Linked DNA regions of Oreochromis niloticus. Each later gene encodes a partner of the first gene's protein in a complex. Links are inferred from orthologs where the notes say so. Each region holds a gene or a part of one and is shown in the gene's direction. Other genes may lie near its edges.

What was found.
Region 2: the proteins of ralgapa2 (region 1) and nkiras1 are in contact, whole or in part, in a crystal structure (PDB 9QU1), measured with the Homo sapiens proteins. The link is inferred for Oreochromis niloticus from reciprocal best matches to the Homo sapiens genes RALGAPA2 and NKIRAS1. Residues at the interface, in NP_065076.2 of Homo sapiens: Pro20, Lys21, Tyr51, Ser52, Gln53, Phe56, Tyr59, Glu60, Ile63, Arg99, Phe102, Arg103, Trp104, His105, Tyr106, Gln107, Ser108, Lys185, Ile186, Tyr187, Pro188, Glu189; in NP_001364280.1 of Homo sapiens: Lys6, Glu22, Leu24, Leu25, Tyr26, Glu34, Met39, Glu40, Asp41, Val42, Tyr43, Met44, Ala45, Ser46, Val47, Glu48, Lys54, Gln56, His58, Tyr60, His74, Tyr75, Ser77, Phe78, Lys108, Thr162.

The regions. Positions count from the first base shown.
Region 1 is NC_031983.2:27,729,280-27,737,210, reverse strand, and holds the start of ralgapa2 (ral GTPase-activating protein subunit alpha-2), read left to right. Parts: upstream 1-4,865; 5' UTR 4,866-5,058; coding exon 5,059-5,164; intron 5,165-7,931.
Region 2 is NC_031985.2:38,827,213-38,834,662, reverse strand, and holds the start of nkiras1 (NF-kappa-B inhibitor-interacting Ras-like protein 1), read left to right. Parts: upstream 1-4,425; 5' UTR 4,426-4,582; intron 4,583-4,793; 5' UTR 4,794-4,800; coding exon 4,801-4,894; intron 4,895-5,134; coding exon 5,135-5,376; intron 5,377-7,003; coding exon 7,004-7,246; 3' UTR 7,247-7,450. Other genes in the region: rpl15 (large ribosomal subunit protein eL15), read right to left, coding at 1,435-1,740, 2,820-2,956, 3,054-3,225. UniProt on the Homo sapiens protein: Atypical Ras-like protein that acts as a potent regulator of NF-kappa-B activity by preventing the degradation of NF-kappa-B inhibitor beta (NFKBIB) by most signals, explaining why NFKBIB is more resistant to degradation.

The DNA.
Region 1 (7,931 bases):
CAAACCTTGGATTGGAATCAGTCCGACAGTCTGGCCATGAGAGCGGTGGTGTGCATTTGTAAGCCTGCAGTGCCACCATTTGGTCGTGTTGGGGAGCGCACTTGCCAATCTTTGAAAGCTGGGAATGAAAAGTAACGAATTATGTTTGGTTATGCTTCAAAAGTCCTGTTTAAAAAAAAAAAGAAGAAGAAACAATTCCAATATAATCTGACTGTTGCCACAGTAAGAGTTTTAACTCTGCACTGGACCAGTTTTCAGGAAACAGTGGCTCTGCGGCGGGCTACAACCTCTGCCTCAGCGTACGGTATATGATTTCAAACATGAGCTGGACCCGAACTCCTTCCAGGTGCCAAATTAGAGAGGAAAATATCCAGTCCCATTGTTAGTGTTGATAGATTATCGTAGGTCCGTGCCATCTTAGATAATGAGCAATAACCTGCTCTTCAAGAACAGGGGAGGTTTGCCAAGAAGGAATGGTGATTACAGTCAATTAAGACTGATGACAAAGCACCAATAATAACCCAGTGTGTGTGTGCGAGCATGTGTGAGCTTGTTTTATTCACTCATTCTTCCAAACTACCCTGTTTTGTGTAATCAACATCTGTTGTGACAGGCACCCTCCTCCTTTCTCAGAATGGCCCACTTCAGATAATGAGTGTCATACCAAACTGCAGGGCAAAGGCTGATTTTACTCCTCTTTTTACTCCTCTTTGGCCTCTGCTCTCACTACCCTCTGTTTTCCTCTCTATCATTCAAGACATCCATTGTTGGGAACCTTGAAAACGAGAGACAAATGCTTTCACAGCATTGTCAGTGCTCGATATGTGGGGGTGACAGATGAACAGAATGCAGTCCTGTTTTCTTTAATGAAAGCAATGCTTCACCGTTGACTCAACTTCTTGTTAACATCTTTATTTTACATTCACAATTTTGTTTTTTGGTATTCAGACAAAACATGAGAATTTATGAGACTTTTCCTACAGATTATTCTGTTATTGCTATTTAAATGGATTCTGTCACTCTTATCTGCGCCGATGCACCTGCATCTGCAGACCTATGGCTATGAAGCATATTTGCTCCTTGGGAAAAGAAAGAAATCCAGATCTGCAGCCTTTGCAGCTCAGCAGGTTTGTTTGCTTCAGTGGTTTAGGCGCCATCTTCTGGTAAATTAGGTCAACTCGAAGAACCCAGGATGGGTGTTTGTGAGGACAATAATTAGAAAACAAAAAGATAGTATTACATAACGTCATAAAGGATCATTCCATATTTAAAAAAGTTTCCACCTGACTCCCTCAGAGTCACATAAAATTAAGCCATTTGAATTTTACACTCATACTATGAGCATTTCCTGAGTTACAGCCTCTCAGTCCACCTCATTCACCTTTTTCTACAGAAAGTTTGAGCAAAGCTTGTACAAGATCAAGCAACCAAATCTTTATGAAAGTATGTAAGTTGGTAAATATTCATAGCACGAATTTTACATGGCTTCATTAAATACACTACACATTGTTCTAGAATAAAGGCAGATCCTAAGGTGGGAGGTGCCATGCGATTTTTCATTCGTAGCGGTGGCACGGTAGTTGTATAAACCTTTATTTTTTCACATAAGGCTAAAAAGATTTTAAGCCTGCAGTCGGATCTGTGTTTTAATCAGTTACTAAGAAGTGTAAGTAAAATCATTTTACTCTCAGAATTGCTTACAAAATGAGACAGATTGGTTCAGACAAGTAAAAGTGTGAGACTGCGCTGAATGTCACTTTAGTGGGTTGATTAATAAATCTATCCATGTTCTTCAAACTTATTATTTATCTCAGAACGCTGTTCTGAAAAAATAAAACCCAGTAGTGTCACGAGTACAGTGAACTCTTTTTAAGGTATCATAACCGTAAGAGTACTTAAAACTACAGAAAAGCTTTGCTGTTTTGAAACTACCTTGTATTCTTATATTCATTCATCAAAACCTCCAGTTTAAAGTGTCAAGTGGCAGCAGCTGGAATGAGCAGTGAAGCTGTTATACCTTCATTCTCTTTTTAAGTGTCACCATAGCAGGGTGTGAATATCAAAAAATGCAAGTCCTTTTAATCTGAAAGTTGGGTTCCTCGGTTCATTTTTAACTTCACTCTAAAAATTAGTGAATTCAGCTCTGAGGGTTTGCAGGAAGACATTAAATATTTTGAATATACCCTCTGACGTGTTCCCAGGCTTCCAACTACAGTGAGATAAAGTGCAGGCTTGTGTCTGCATACATACATATACAGCAGAGGAAATAATTAATATTATTAATCATTTACCAATCATTTACCAACCTGGTGACCAACTACAGCAAAGGTCTTACCTCTGTGCTCGCCACCAAGGGTTTCTCCACCAGGCACTAAGTGATGACTTCCTTAAGGATCAAATATTTATTTCACTCGGTCAAATCCATATCAGTTTATAGCTTTTATGTGATGTGTTTTTTGGGGACTTTTGGTTGATATTCTGTCTCTTTCCAAAAAGTGAAACTACCAGACAAAATGAGAAGCTGTAAAAAATGAACGACTGAGTGAACTGGGATCTACGTGCAGAGACGCCAAAGAAAAAGCAAGATTAAGACCTAAAAAGAAGAAAACAATATATAGAGGGCCAAGGAGCAGCATGGATGAAAGTGATGTTCAATGCCAAATCACAAATCTGCAGTGTGAAACATTTAAAGACGACTACCTGAACAAATTTCCTGGCTCATGGGGTTGCATATCAGCTAAAGTACCGGGTGGTATGACCATCATTAACTCAGCACTATACACACTATACACACAGGAGCACACTTACATGTTGGACATTTTTCTCATCTGATAGAAAGTAGGTTTGGTGATAATGAAGCCATTTTTCAGCATCATAATGCATCTTGCTGCAGAGCAAAGAGTGTTAAAGCATTTCTTCAGGAAAGGCAGCTAATATCAACTTAGTGCCATGGGCAGCAAACAGTCTGGATCTGAGTCTGATTGAAAATTTATGGTGGAAATTGAAAAAGGAAATTTCCATAGTGAGTATCCATCCTGGAAAGCTGATCTGCCAGCCGCTATTTGGGAAAGCTGGTTGAGAGAGCAGGTTGATACAGAATATTGCTTTTCATTAGTGAAATCCATCCATGCCTCAAAAAAATCAGGCTGTTATGAAAGCCAGAGGAGATGCAAAAAAGTATTCATTTTGGTGTTTTTGTAGATTACGCCATCATTTTCCCCTCAACATCGAGTGTTTCCATTTCTACTTGATCTGGAAAAAATGTAGCGTTAATTAAAATAATTCCAATTAATTTATTTGAGGCATGTTTGGCTGTTAGACAAAGAAGAATAGCAACAAGAGTGAAGGGAAAGGTTGAAATGATGGTACTGAGACCTGCTATGAGGTTTGGTTTGAAGATGGTGGAGCTGACAAAAAGACGAGTGTTAAGGTTTTTATTGAGTGTGACCAGGATGGAGAAGATAAGAAATGGCTACGTCAGAGGAACAATTCAGGTTGAGCACTTTGGGAACAAAGGTGGAGAGGCGAGGTGATATGGTTAGGACATGTGCAGAGGTGGGATAGAGCATATACTGGACACAGTAGACAAAGGATGCTGAAAATGGAGCTGGTCGGCGGGAGGAAAAGAGGAAGACCTCAGAGAAGATTTATGGATGTCGTGAAGGAGGACATGCAGAGGGCTGGTGTGGCAGAGAAGGATGGTAGGGACAGGGTGAGATGGAGCCAGGTGATTCCCTGTGATGATCCCAAAAAGGAGAGGGTGTCTCATAATTGTGATTTGTTTATGTCCTTCAAAAAGTGGTGATTTCATTTGTCCCATAGTTTTGATATTACTTTTGTTTATTTTATTTAATATGTGTGAACCTACACACCGTGTCCCTCTCTAGCTTTAGTGATTCAAAATCTTATTTTAGTTAGTTTTTTTTTTTTTTTTTTTTTTTTTTTAATTTGTTCATTTCAGAGCATATTATTTTAGTTCGTTTTTGTTTGTTTGGGTTTGTTTTTCAACCCAATTATACTTTTATACTTCACTTCACAAATTATTCTTCACTCACCTGTGATGACCTTGTGTTGGACAAAATGGGCAATCACTACTTTATCTGTAATTTCCATGAAACAAATTCTAATTTGCAAGCACATGTCTGTTTGTTTTTGTTGTTGTTATGCCAAAAGGTGATTTATGAAACAGGATTTATGACTGGGATCATATATAAAAAATAAAGAAATTACCTCTTTTGCAAGTATCTTTATGAGTCTACAAAAAAATCCGAACTGTGATATTATCCTTGTTGCAATTTCCTCTTGGTTGGATCTCTTGTAAAACACATTTTTAATGTGAATGACATTAAAATAAAGAATACATTTTCTTTCCGTTCTTTCTGGTTAAAAATGTCTTAATATCATTCATGAAAGACATGTTTAACAGATCATTTACAACAGTTTAAATACAGACAATCATTTTGGGGAAAATACTGGAAATCACTTTTTAGCACTTTTTATCAGTGTATAGTATCATGAATATCCATCCTCTGCTCCTCTACTGTCGTGTTTTACCTTAGACACCAGAGGGCGCTTGGGAGCTATGTCAACCCCCTTTTATCAAAATACAGAGGTATACAGTCTCACAATCCCATTTTTAAACTAAAGCTTGCTGCCAATACTCAAACTTTTAGACAGGACAGTGCACTCAAGCCCACTACTATCAGTTTCTGAAATTAAAGTACACAAACTCCTCAGTGGAGTTTAAATAAGTCTGTTCTTAACCGAGAAAACAGAAATGAGTAACCTTACTTCTAGCAGGGATGGAGAGCAAAGCTGGAGGTGCAAGGTGTAAAAGACATAAACACGGAGGCGTATTCATGAGGTCTAACCACGCCTCCGTTAGACTGCGCTTCCGTGTTTACACACCCACTAAAACAGGAGACTCCAGCGGCCGTCGGGCGGCTGTTTACCGAGCAAGCACAGAGTGGCAGTGAGGAAAGTGACAGTCACACGGGAGGCTCGGTGTATGGTGAAACACAGGTGATTTCAGCTTCCACGGTCGCATTTTAAAGCGTAATGTTCACTCGAAGGGGGCATGGAGACGTCAAGAAATCTACACAGAAAGTTCTGGACCCAAAGAAGGATGTGTTTACCCGGTTCAAACACCTCCGGACTCTGTTAGGTGAGTGAAATGTCACCGGGGAGCTGGATGCTGCATCGTCGAGGCTTAGCTAAGTGGCGCTAGCTAGCTGGCACCAGCCGACGGCTAACGTCAAACAAGGCGTCAGGTCAGCTGGCTGCTTAGTGCCAGTCCAGCCAGCTGACCTGTAACATGCATCTGTATTATGCCGGTACCCTCTGCTGTTTAAAGTCTTTGTTCATTTAAAATATGAGACAAGGCGCACTGTGATGATGAGGCATGGATGTTAGCTAATACAAGCTAGCTCCCCTGCGGCTACCTAGCCAGCCAATAATGCTAACTGATGCAGGGAAACAGATGCCGAGCACAGGCTTTGCTGCTCTTCGGTCCTGTGCCATCATTAGAGTGTTTAACACGTATCTGAAGCTTCGTCATTCAGCATCGAGTCGCACAGGTTGAAGTCTCTGTTTGGACTTTTGGAGTGAGGACAGGGCTTTCTCACTGCAGGTTACCCTCCCGAGTTTCAGTCAACTTGCCTCTACCTTGTTTGAGAAATTTCACTTAATAATGACACAAACGTGTTACACAAGAGCAGTCATTTATTTTAATCCACTGGACAAGGAAGTGCAGCATTTATGAGGCTCATAAAACTGTTGTCTTCCTGCGCTGCGTTAATAACAAGAGACACGACTGTGTTCGGTAGTCACCTGACCTGTGCTGTTCATAAGCGCTGTTAAACGGTCTGTTTGCACGGCTTGTTCATTCATAAACTGTAATAATGACAAGTGAATGCTGAATCTACACTGATTTAAACACAATCGATGACGTGCAAGTTGTACATTTTATCATGCCGAATCATATCAAAGACAAAAATAAATGCAGTGTTGGAATTTGAAGGCACCATCATCCTTTTTTAAAAATGAAGAGCGCATCCACTGACTGAAAAATATATGTGATAGGCTAATATCTGGTGATAATATCACTGGTTTATTACTGGTTTACTCGTATTTGGGACTGAAACGTTGTATTAGAGGTAAGGAGGTCAAATGTTACAGTCGCCTCCTATCAGAACTCTGTTGACAACATCATGAATGCTGTAGTACTATATCTGGTGCTCTTCTGTTATTCTCAGTGCTTTGTCAGTAATCGAGGTCAGTGTGGAGAGGAACAAAGAGATCTGGAGAAAAACTGCAGTCTGTTCACTCTGAGTGCAATAAATCATGTCTTTCAGAAATATCATTCAAAGTAGGTCATGTATGCATATTTCTTGACGTGGACTACACAGAGGTGAACATCTAGGCAGTTAATTTTCTCTTGTTTTTATTTGATGACTAATGGTAATATCCCCAGAGTAGCTGGAAAACCGATGCAGTAAACACAGTTTCTTCTCTTGTTTTCATTTAGATTTTTTTTTTTTTTTATACATAAAGCTTTGAAAATTATTGGAAACCTTTTTTACATATTGTCCCAAAATACAGACGATGACTCATTTGGGTAAGTTTTAGTTACAGTAAACACTAATTCCTTTTACTTAGAGCACTTTTAGGTAAAGCTTGGTATGTCTGGGGTAGCAGTGGAATTCAGAGGAAAGTCCAAGCACGTTTGCCATGTTTAGAGTTTAAACCAGAAGTGGGCAATCTCAGTCCGGGAGGGCCGGTGTCCCTGCAGGTTTTAGATGTGTCCTCGAACCAACACAGCTGATTTAAATGGCTAAATTAGCTCCTCAACATGTCCTGAAGTTCTCCAGAGGCCTGGTAACGAACTAATCATGTGATTCAGGTGTGTTGACCCAAGGTGAGATCTAAAACCTACAGGGACACCGGCCCTCGTGGACAGAGATTGCCCACCCCTGGTTTAAACCATTGGTTCATTGACACGTGCCTGCTTGTAACCTTTTCATATAGTGACTTGTTCTCCAATTTATTGATTCCCAGTACTGCAGCAGGATTGTAACAGCCACTGTCAGCCTAACAGTTGTAGCTTGAGCAAAGCTGTGGGAAGTTGATATGGTTGAAGTTTTTTTCTATCATAGCAAACTTTCAATGTCAAGACTAGTACAGCCAAGGTGGAGGTCAGCACAGTGCTCTGGCTGTCATCTGTGTTTTTCTTTCCCTCATGTGCAGCTAAAGATAAGGCTAGTCTGTTTGTCCAGCAGCTGATATTTGGGCCGACGTTGCAATGTCCCCCAAATTCCCAGATTACACCGAGCTTGCAGTTCAGGAAGGATTTCCTCCTGGTTCTGCTGGTTCCTGTGTGGCAGGAAGCTTGATGAGAGATGGGGTGAGGTGGAGGACAGGGCAGGACAGGGACTTGGATAGAGCTTACCTTCTTTCACCGATCACGCTGTTTTATCTTTTTGAAATATTTAAATGTATTATTCATAACACTGGCAAGAGAAGACATTTCCAGAGGTGGCAGGATGGAACAGCTTTTGGTGGGAGGAAATTTAATATGTAGCTTCTTGTTAAACTTTACAACCTGTATGTTTAAACTCAACCATCCACAGCTGGGGTTTACCACACTCATTTACTATGTCCCAAGGAGAAAATACCATTAAGGCACAGTTTGTTTTTTTTAATGACTCTTATGTTTTCAGTAATCCTTTAATTTCTGCACAGAAGTTTTCAACCCGCTCGTCTTCTCTCAAGGTTATTGTCTATTAAGTTATCCAAAATCTGACCTCTTTATGTCATTGCAACACCAACACCAGAAATTTGGTAAACAGGCTTGTTAAATGAGTGGTACTATCAGCAGTATTGTACTTGAAAGGACAATCTGTGGTCTGGGCTATTTTCAGAGTGGCCCTCTA
Region 2 (7,450 bases), on another chromosome or scaffold:
ACCTTTAACTCTGAACCTCTAAGATCCAATCTGCTGAACTGCTCATCTCACAGAGACAAAAGGAAGAACCCTGAACCACTTTTACACTTAGATTTGTCCTCAGCACATTTTCACATGAGCATTAATCCCATCACATACATGGGAATACTTTTACTTCTTAAAACTCTGTTTGTGTCAGTCACCATTTATTTATTTTCTAAGTCAAGCATCCAGTGTGTCACTGCCACCCTTCTGCACCACACACACAGGTCAGACTGTGCAGGCTCTCAGTGAGGCCTGTTCTATTAGCATCACTGTTATTCTAATACTTATACTGGTTAACCTAAACATATTTTTTATTTATTGTATTTATATTCAACATGCCAGTATTGGGCAGTTGAGCAAAATTAACCCAATGTCTTCAACCCCAGGTAACGTGACGATACAACCACCTACTACACACCTTAATGAACCTTGGGTGGGGAAATATGTAGCATACAAAATCAAATGGGGGAAGACACCGATTTCCAAAATCTGCTGTTCTGTGGAGCAAAGCATGACTGAATGCTGTTCCAGGTACCACTCCTCTCATATATTAATGAGAAACTGAAGCAACAGATATGCTAAATGTTTCATTGGATGGCAGGTTCAAAATTTGGTGTAAACAACACTAAAGCACAGAAGCAGCTTGCCTCCTGTCAGCAGGCTGCTGGTGGTGTGATGGCTGTTTGGGCTTCTTAGTACCAACTAAGAATCACTTACATTACAGCACTAAATACAAGGAAACTATAGTGCTTCCAAAAGCCTGATAGAAACTGTGCGTCTCAGTCTGCTCCTTCAGTTATCAGATGGCTAGGAGCACCAGGGCATGTCATTTATAGTTGTGTACTTACAGAAGGTTGATAATGAAGCACCTGTGGCTGAGACACCCACACAGGTGACATCAGATGTAGCACACTAACATTGCTAACATGAGCTAGCACGCTGACGACATGAAACTGGCCGAGTGCTGATCCCATTAATAAGTCAGTTGACCCCAGGTGAATTCTTGTTGTGCACTCACTGCTGTTCAGTGAGGGTTGAGACTAATAACAAATCTTTGCTAACTGCAAATTATTGAAGAGTTCCTTTTAAATTATAATCTCTTTAGTTTTGAATTTACATTTTCAAAAAAGTTCAGCTGCAGCTCATCTGAATGGCTTTTTCTCTAAAGTGCCACAGGTACAGAAAGTTCCCACAATATTAAAATCAGCTTGTTTGTTTGTTTTTTTTAATAACCTTGTTCCTAATCCAGTGAAGTGTAAATGTCTTCACTTGTACAGGTACAACCCTTTAAAAGAGCATCAGTCCAAGAAGGCGCTCACGTTCTACGAACACAATGAAACAGACGACACAGATCTTCCCCATAAAAAGAGCTGTTTATTTTTGTAAATGTACAGGCATGCGTGGCACGCTCTAACGATAGCGGTGCAGTTGCAGGGTGTTGCGCCTCTTCCAGGCTGCACGGCGGGAGCCTCCAATGGTCAGGTGGAACTTGTGGCCCTTACCCAGGCCGCGGCTCTTCTTACCCGCCGATGTCAGGCCACGCATCTCTCTGTGCTTGTGCACAGCTCTTGTGAGCCACTGGGTGTCTGGGTTGCGTCTGATGGCCTTGTGGAAGGTATCGACCAGGATCACCTCGAAAAACTTGTAGGTGGAGTCCTCGCCCACCCAGTAAGAGTTGAGCACTCGCAGGGCTCCACAGTGACGGCCAGCACGCTCCTACAAAATAAAAGTCATGTTTAGTCTTAGAAGGGCAATCACAATGTGAAGCATTAAATATCTGCTAGCCCCTGTTGGAAACAAGCTTTAAATTCAAAACCCACAGACGATGTCAGACCTGCCCGAGCCACTCGGAACACCGCTAACCTTTGTGTGCTCACATGTCAGGAAAACAAAAGCAAGCATCCTTCACCACTGAGCAAGAGACATCTGCACCAGTGCATGCATCAAATCTCACCAAAACCACAGTTTCATTTGGGAAAAATAACTTCCCAACCACTGCAACTTCCCATTTCACATCCAGACATGTTCACTGGATGTTTTGCCACCAACATCCTGCGATGTTAGTTTCATTCAGTCAGACGGCTAGCTGTAGCATCACAGGTAAATGTGATAAAGTTATGAAAGCTGCTGCACAAGAGGGTACGCAGTATTCTTGCTTCTTCCAAAAACAGATGCACATTTTTTTAAATGGTGATTAAAGATTGTGGGTAAGCCCATGTAAGCCACTGTGTCCACTCATCCCACCAGCTGCATGAAGACGCTCAATGCAGTTAGTGTTGCATTAACACTCTCTGCAGAGAACCTGTCCACTCTGAAAATGGCCAATTTTGCGATAAGGAAAATTGTACACACATTTACATCAAGACAGAGAGCACATACTAAAGTAATGCAGCATCTAACATTGCACGTCACATTTATACAGGACTCCTGAGGGGTTCAGTATATTTGCCAAGGATATTTTATAACAAACAGGAATCCAAACACTTTCCAGTTCACAGATCACGTCATTCTGTAGGCTTCAACACAAGATATGACCACTGATGAAAACTATTTGCTGGGGTTTGAGTGGCAACTAGACCTTTAATATTGTAAATCCACCATTTAAACCTATCAGACTAAGCTACTGTGGGCAGTAAAGTAATGCATCCTTTCATATTACTAACATGATATTCACATTAATGTAATAAAAATGGGTAACAGGCTTAATGATGCTCAACGTCACATTCAGTACTGAACTATCTGACGCTTACTGTAGCTTCATGAAACCAAGGTTGGATCAGCAGGTATGAACCTACCTCAGCGATGGACTGCAAGCTGCGGGCAAACTTGATCTGGTTGACACCATGATGCACTGGTTTGCCATAGGTAGCACCTTTGGGCACGGGGCGTTTACGACCTCCACGGCGCACACGAACACGGTAGATCACGTAGCCTGTTTCGATTGAACAAAAATATGCAATTACCTGAACGGGTACAGATGATGACAGGTGACAGACATGGAGGTGAACAACCACAGGCACAGCACTCACCTTGCTTGGCCTTGTAGCCCAGCCTGCGAGCCTTGTCAGGCCTGGTGGGTCTGGGAGCACGGTGGAGGTTGGACAGCTGACGGTACTGCCAGCAGCGGACGCGGAGCAAGAAGCGCATCACGTCAGACTGCTTCTTACGCCATAGCTCCTGCATATACTTATATGCCCCCATGTTGACTTATCTGAGAAAAAAAAAAGAAAGAAACTTTGGTCAAGTCATTTTTGTCAGCTTGTTAATTAAAAGCTCATTAGGTGGTACCTCCCTTTACATTGCAACAAACAGTTCAGCAGAGAAACACTGTTTACAGCAGCTACACTGAAGAGCACAGCACGTACGGTCTAACAATTCTTTTAAATCACTGAACCGTTGGCAGGTTACAAGATTAATCCGGCCCATTTTAAATATAAATTCATGTATTACTACACTTCAAACAGCACATGGCTGAACGTGACCTGGGACTGGATACCTTCAGAATATGAAGGCTATGCCAACACTCCCATACTTCAGATTTCCCCAAAAACATTTAGACACATGTAGAGCATGAAATAGCTACACAGAAGATGTAGCCACTCCATGCTTAGCATAAACTGTATACAAGACTAGCATAGCCGAGGACAGTTTACCGGCTCTTTGTCGCACAAATACCCACAGAAATAACTACACAGAAATGCACGCGTACGTGGAACAGTGATCCAAACGCTAGAACTCTACATTTACATAAATATCACACAGTGGAAACGACACGTTAGCGGTCCCTAGCTACCAGACAGAGAGCATCTGAACGCCACTAAAACATAGGATTCTAATCAAAGCCTTTAACCTTTTTCCACGAAATAGTCACAGAGTACAGACTGATAACAAAGCACTAAGCTACAGCCCGAGTCACAGATACAGATGAACGTATATACATGATGATTTTAACGGATTACTATTTGGTCACAAGCACAGAAAAACTCGCTTACATGATGGCGTACTAGCCGGAAAGAGAGAGGGCAAGTACCCAGCATGCCTTAAGGAAAACGGCAGTGGCGTACTTCCGCTTTTCACAGTGCTCCTGGGAAATGTGGTCTTCTTTTCTCTTCGACTTTTCACGTTTGTCACTTATGTGGTAATTTTCAGAATCAAACACGCGCTCATTGTCCAGTTTCGAGTGATTTCATTCCTACAAATATAAAGCAAAAATATTTGTAAACATAAAGACACAATTTACTGCGTCGAACTGCAAATTAATTAGAAGGAGTCAATTACAAAGTCAATATTAATAACAGGCGTTAAACTTTTTTAAAATGTAATTTTAACTTGTCTTTAATCAGCTTTCATATTTTCTACATATAAAATAAATATAAATAAATAAATAAATAATGCATAAGCGAGCAAAGTTGGTGATCTTCGAGGGCTCTGACGTATGGTGAACTGCGCATGCGCTTTGACAGAACCTGTCGCTCTTTAATCTCACAGCAGAATGGATCCTCCGGTTGTGGTTCTACGCTTGCAGACTTGACGGAAGCCTCGTATCTTCCACACTAAAGTTAGCGACTTTTCTCAGACATACAAAGAATTTAAAAATATGTGTTCGTATTTCAGCTAGCTGGCTAAACAATAGCTAGCTTTAGCCAGCTAGGTACAAGCTAAGGATGAACATGTCTGTTGATGTTTTGAGGGACTGTCGGTCGTTTTGATGTTACTGTGGTTCTAACGCGTTTCTGTACAAACTGACCATCCGTCTTGATGTATTACAGACTCGACATGGGAAAAGGCTGTAAAGTTGTGGTGTGCGGCCAGGCGGCTGTTGGAAAAACTGCTATTCTGGAACAGCTGCTGTACGGAAACCACACTGTAGGTAGGTAGGTGAGGACTGGGCGTACAGCGATGGGATGTTACTTGTTTCAGTGACGAAGCTTTGAACACTCTTTATTTGGCAAAACACACTTACATTCTTCCAGTATGACATCAATTGTTTGGCATATTTATATTACATGGTGTTGATACATCCGCTGTTTGAGAGCATTCCAATGTTTCATTGCCAAGATCCTCATTTGCTGTTTCAGTAACTCTTTTATTTTTCGTCTGTACCTTTCAGGGTCAGAGTCTAATGAGACACAGGAGGACGTGTATGTGGCCTCTGTGGAAACCGACCGAGGTGTCAAGGAACAGCTCAGGCTCTATGACACCAAGGGACTGAATGATGGACAAGACCTCCCTAAGCACTATTACTCAGTGGCAGACGGCTTTGTGCTTGTTTACAGTGTTGACAGCTTGGAGTCTTTCAAGAGGGTGGACATTCTGAAGAAAGAAATAGATAAGTCCAGAGATAAAAAAGAGGTGAGGCTGGGTTGAAGTCTGGTCAGGCAAACGTTGCACAGATTGCTGGCACTTGTGAAGATGACATGTGCTTTTTTTTTTCTGTGATCAGATGTCTAGTTTTTGCCTAATTAAATCATATAATTACATTTAGAATATTTGTTAACAGCTCTAGTTTCCGCCTCTTAGCTGTACAGCTTTGCAGTGAGTCTAGTACTAAACAGTGTAAACTGGACCTTATGGAGAATAGAAATAGATAACATATGTTTGGACGTGTCTTTAAAACTTGCTAGAAATCATCTGAATGGTTTTATATAGACAAATCTATAAATTTATCCGTATAAAACATGTTTGTTTGCTCTTAAAAGTGAATACTTGTATGTATCATTTTAAAGATATGCATATAATAAGGTCACTGTTCCAAAAACATGACCAGCAGCACTAAGAGAACCTCAGAGTACACAAATAACAAACCACAGACGAGAGCAGACCTAAACAGGAAGATAAAAGTGGAGAAGAGTCGATACGAAACACTACTTTATGTTGCTACAATATCACAGGTGGAGAGGGTAGCTCCACCAATTTGACAGAGTTCAGGGCCTGATAGCCTTTCTGACACAACATTTAACATTTTGGCATTTTATTCTACATAGTTCACTGTTTCTTAACTGCTCTGAAAAAATTTTCTTTAGACACAGAGGAAGCTGCAAACCTTATTCTGATAGCATTACCAATAGCATTTGAGTTTTAAACTGACTTAAGTTTCAGCTTTGTTGTAGTCATCCTCACTGGTCATCATATTCACCGCTAACAGTGACCTGACAGCCTGATCTCTCATCACTAAATTAGTGGATCACGTGTCGTTGGAACAAAGGCATCAGTGAGGCGTCTCTTGAGCTCCACAGTGGCATGAGCAGTTCCACTGTGGGTGTTGTTTCCGCTGCTACTGCTGACTGTTAAGCTTTCTGTGCCTTTGCAATGTCATCAGGTTTGTTCTACACACTGTCAACCAAACCTAAAAGCAGTCGGTCAGCCAGGTGTTCAAACTGGGATGGAATGCACCAAAACCTTAGTTAGCCATGGTCATGTGACGAGGATATTTCGAAACACCTGCGCTGTGTGAGGTCGACGCAGCATTAAAACACCTCTTTACTCCATGCATTTTAAGCACAGACTCATACACCGATGGATGCATCGGGTGGAATTTGGGTATCTCGCCCAAACACAATTTGACATGCAGTAATGTGTGGGGAAAAGCTCCAGTGAGCGTCCACAGTCGCAGCTGAGGGTGAACACCACAAGTCTCACAGGTGTGAGCTTTTACATCGACTGTTTGAAGCGCAGTAAGAAAGTAACATAAAGCCTCCTTACTGTGAGTAGACACAATATTGATATATAGAGATAAAAACATATTTCATAGTTAGATAGCTTCAGTATAATTCTATAATGTTGGGTAAAAAAACCCTTGAATGTGTAGATGAGTTCAACTTTAGAATATTCTCGGGCGGGCGGCTATTTGGGAAAAACAAAAACTTCACAGAGAAGTTGCACTCTAACATCCCACACTAAACATATTGTATGAATCGGTTTTCTCTCCTGTGTATGATGTAGATCACTAAAAAGTGACTTGGCTTTGTTTTGGGTGCAGGTGATGGTCATAGTGCTGGGGAACAAAACAGACCTGCGGGAGCGTCGTCAGGTAGACCACGAGGCAGCACAGCAGTGGGCGCGAGGCGAGAAGGTGAAGCTGTGGGAGGTGAGCGTCACTGAACGCACCTCGCTCATCGAACCGTTCACCCAGCTCACCAGCCGCCTCACGCAGCCTCAGAGCAAGTCGGCCTTCCCTCTGCCTGGACGTAAAAGCAAGGGGACCCCATCCAATGACATCTGACACACACGCTCCTTCCTGCGTTCACTCCCAGCAGCGCGCTGTGGGCGGGATGTTGGTTTAGCAGTGGGACTCGTTTAACCGTTTGGGATTTTTGCTTGATGACATAATTGATGGCCTGCTTCAAGTACGGCCCTGGAGGAAGGATGTGGTTACACAGGAACACATCTGATACAGGAATGTACAGTTTCTCTTTTTTAGCTTTTT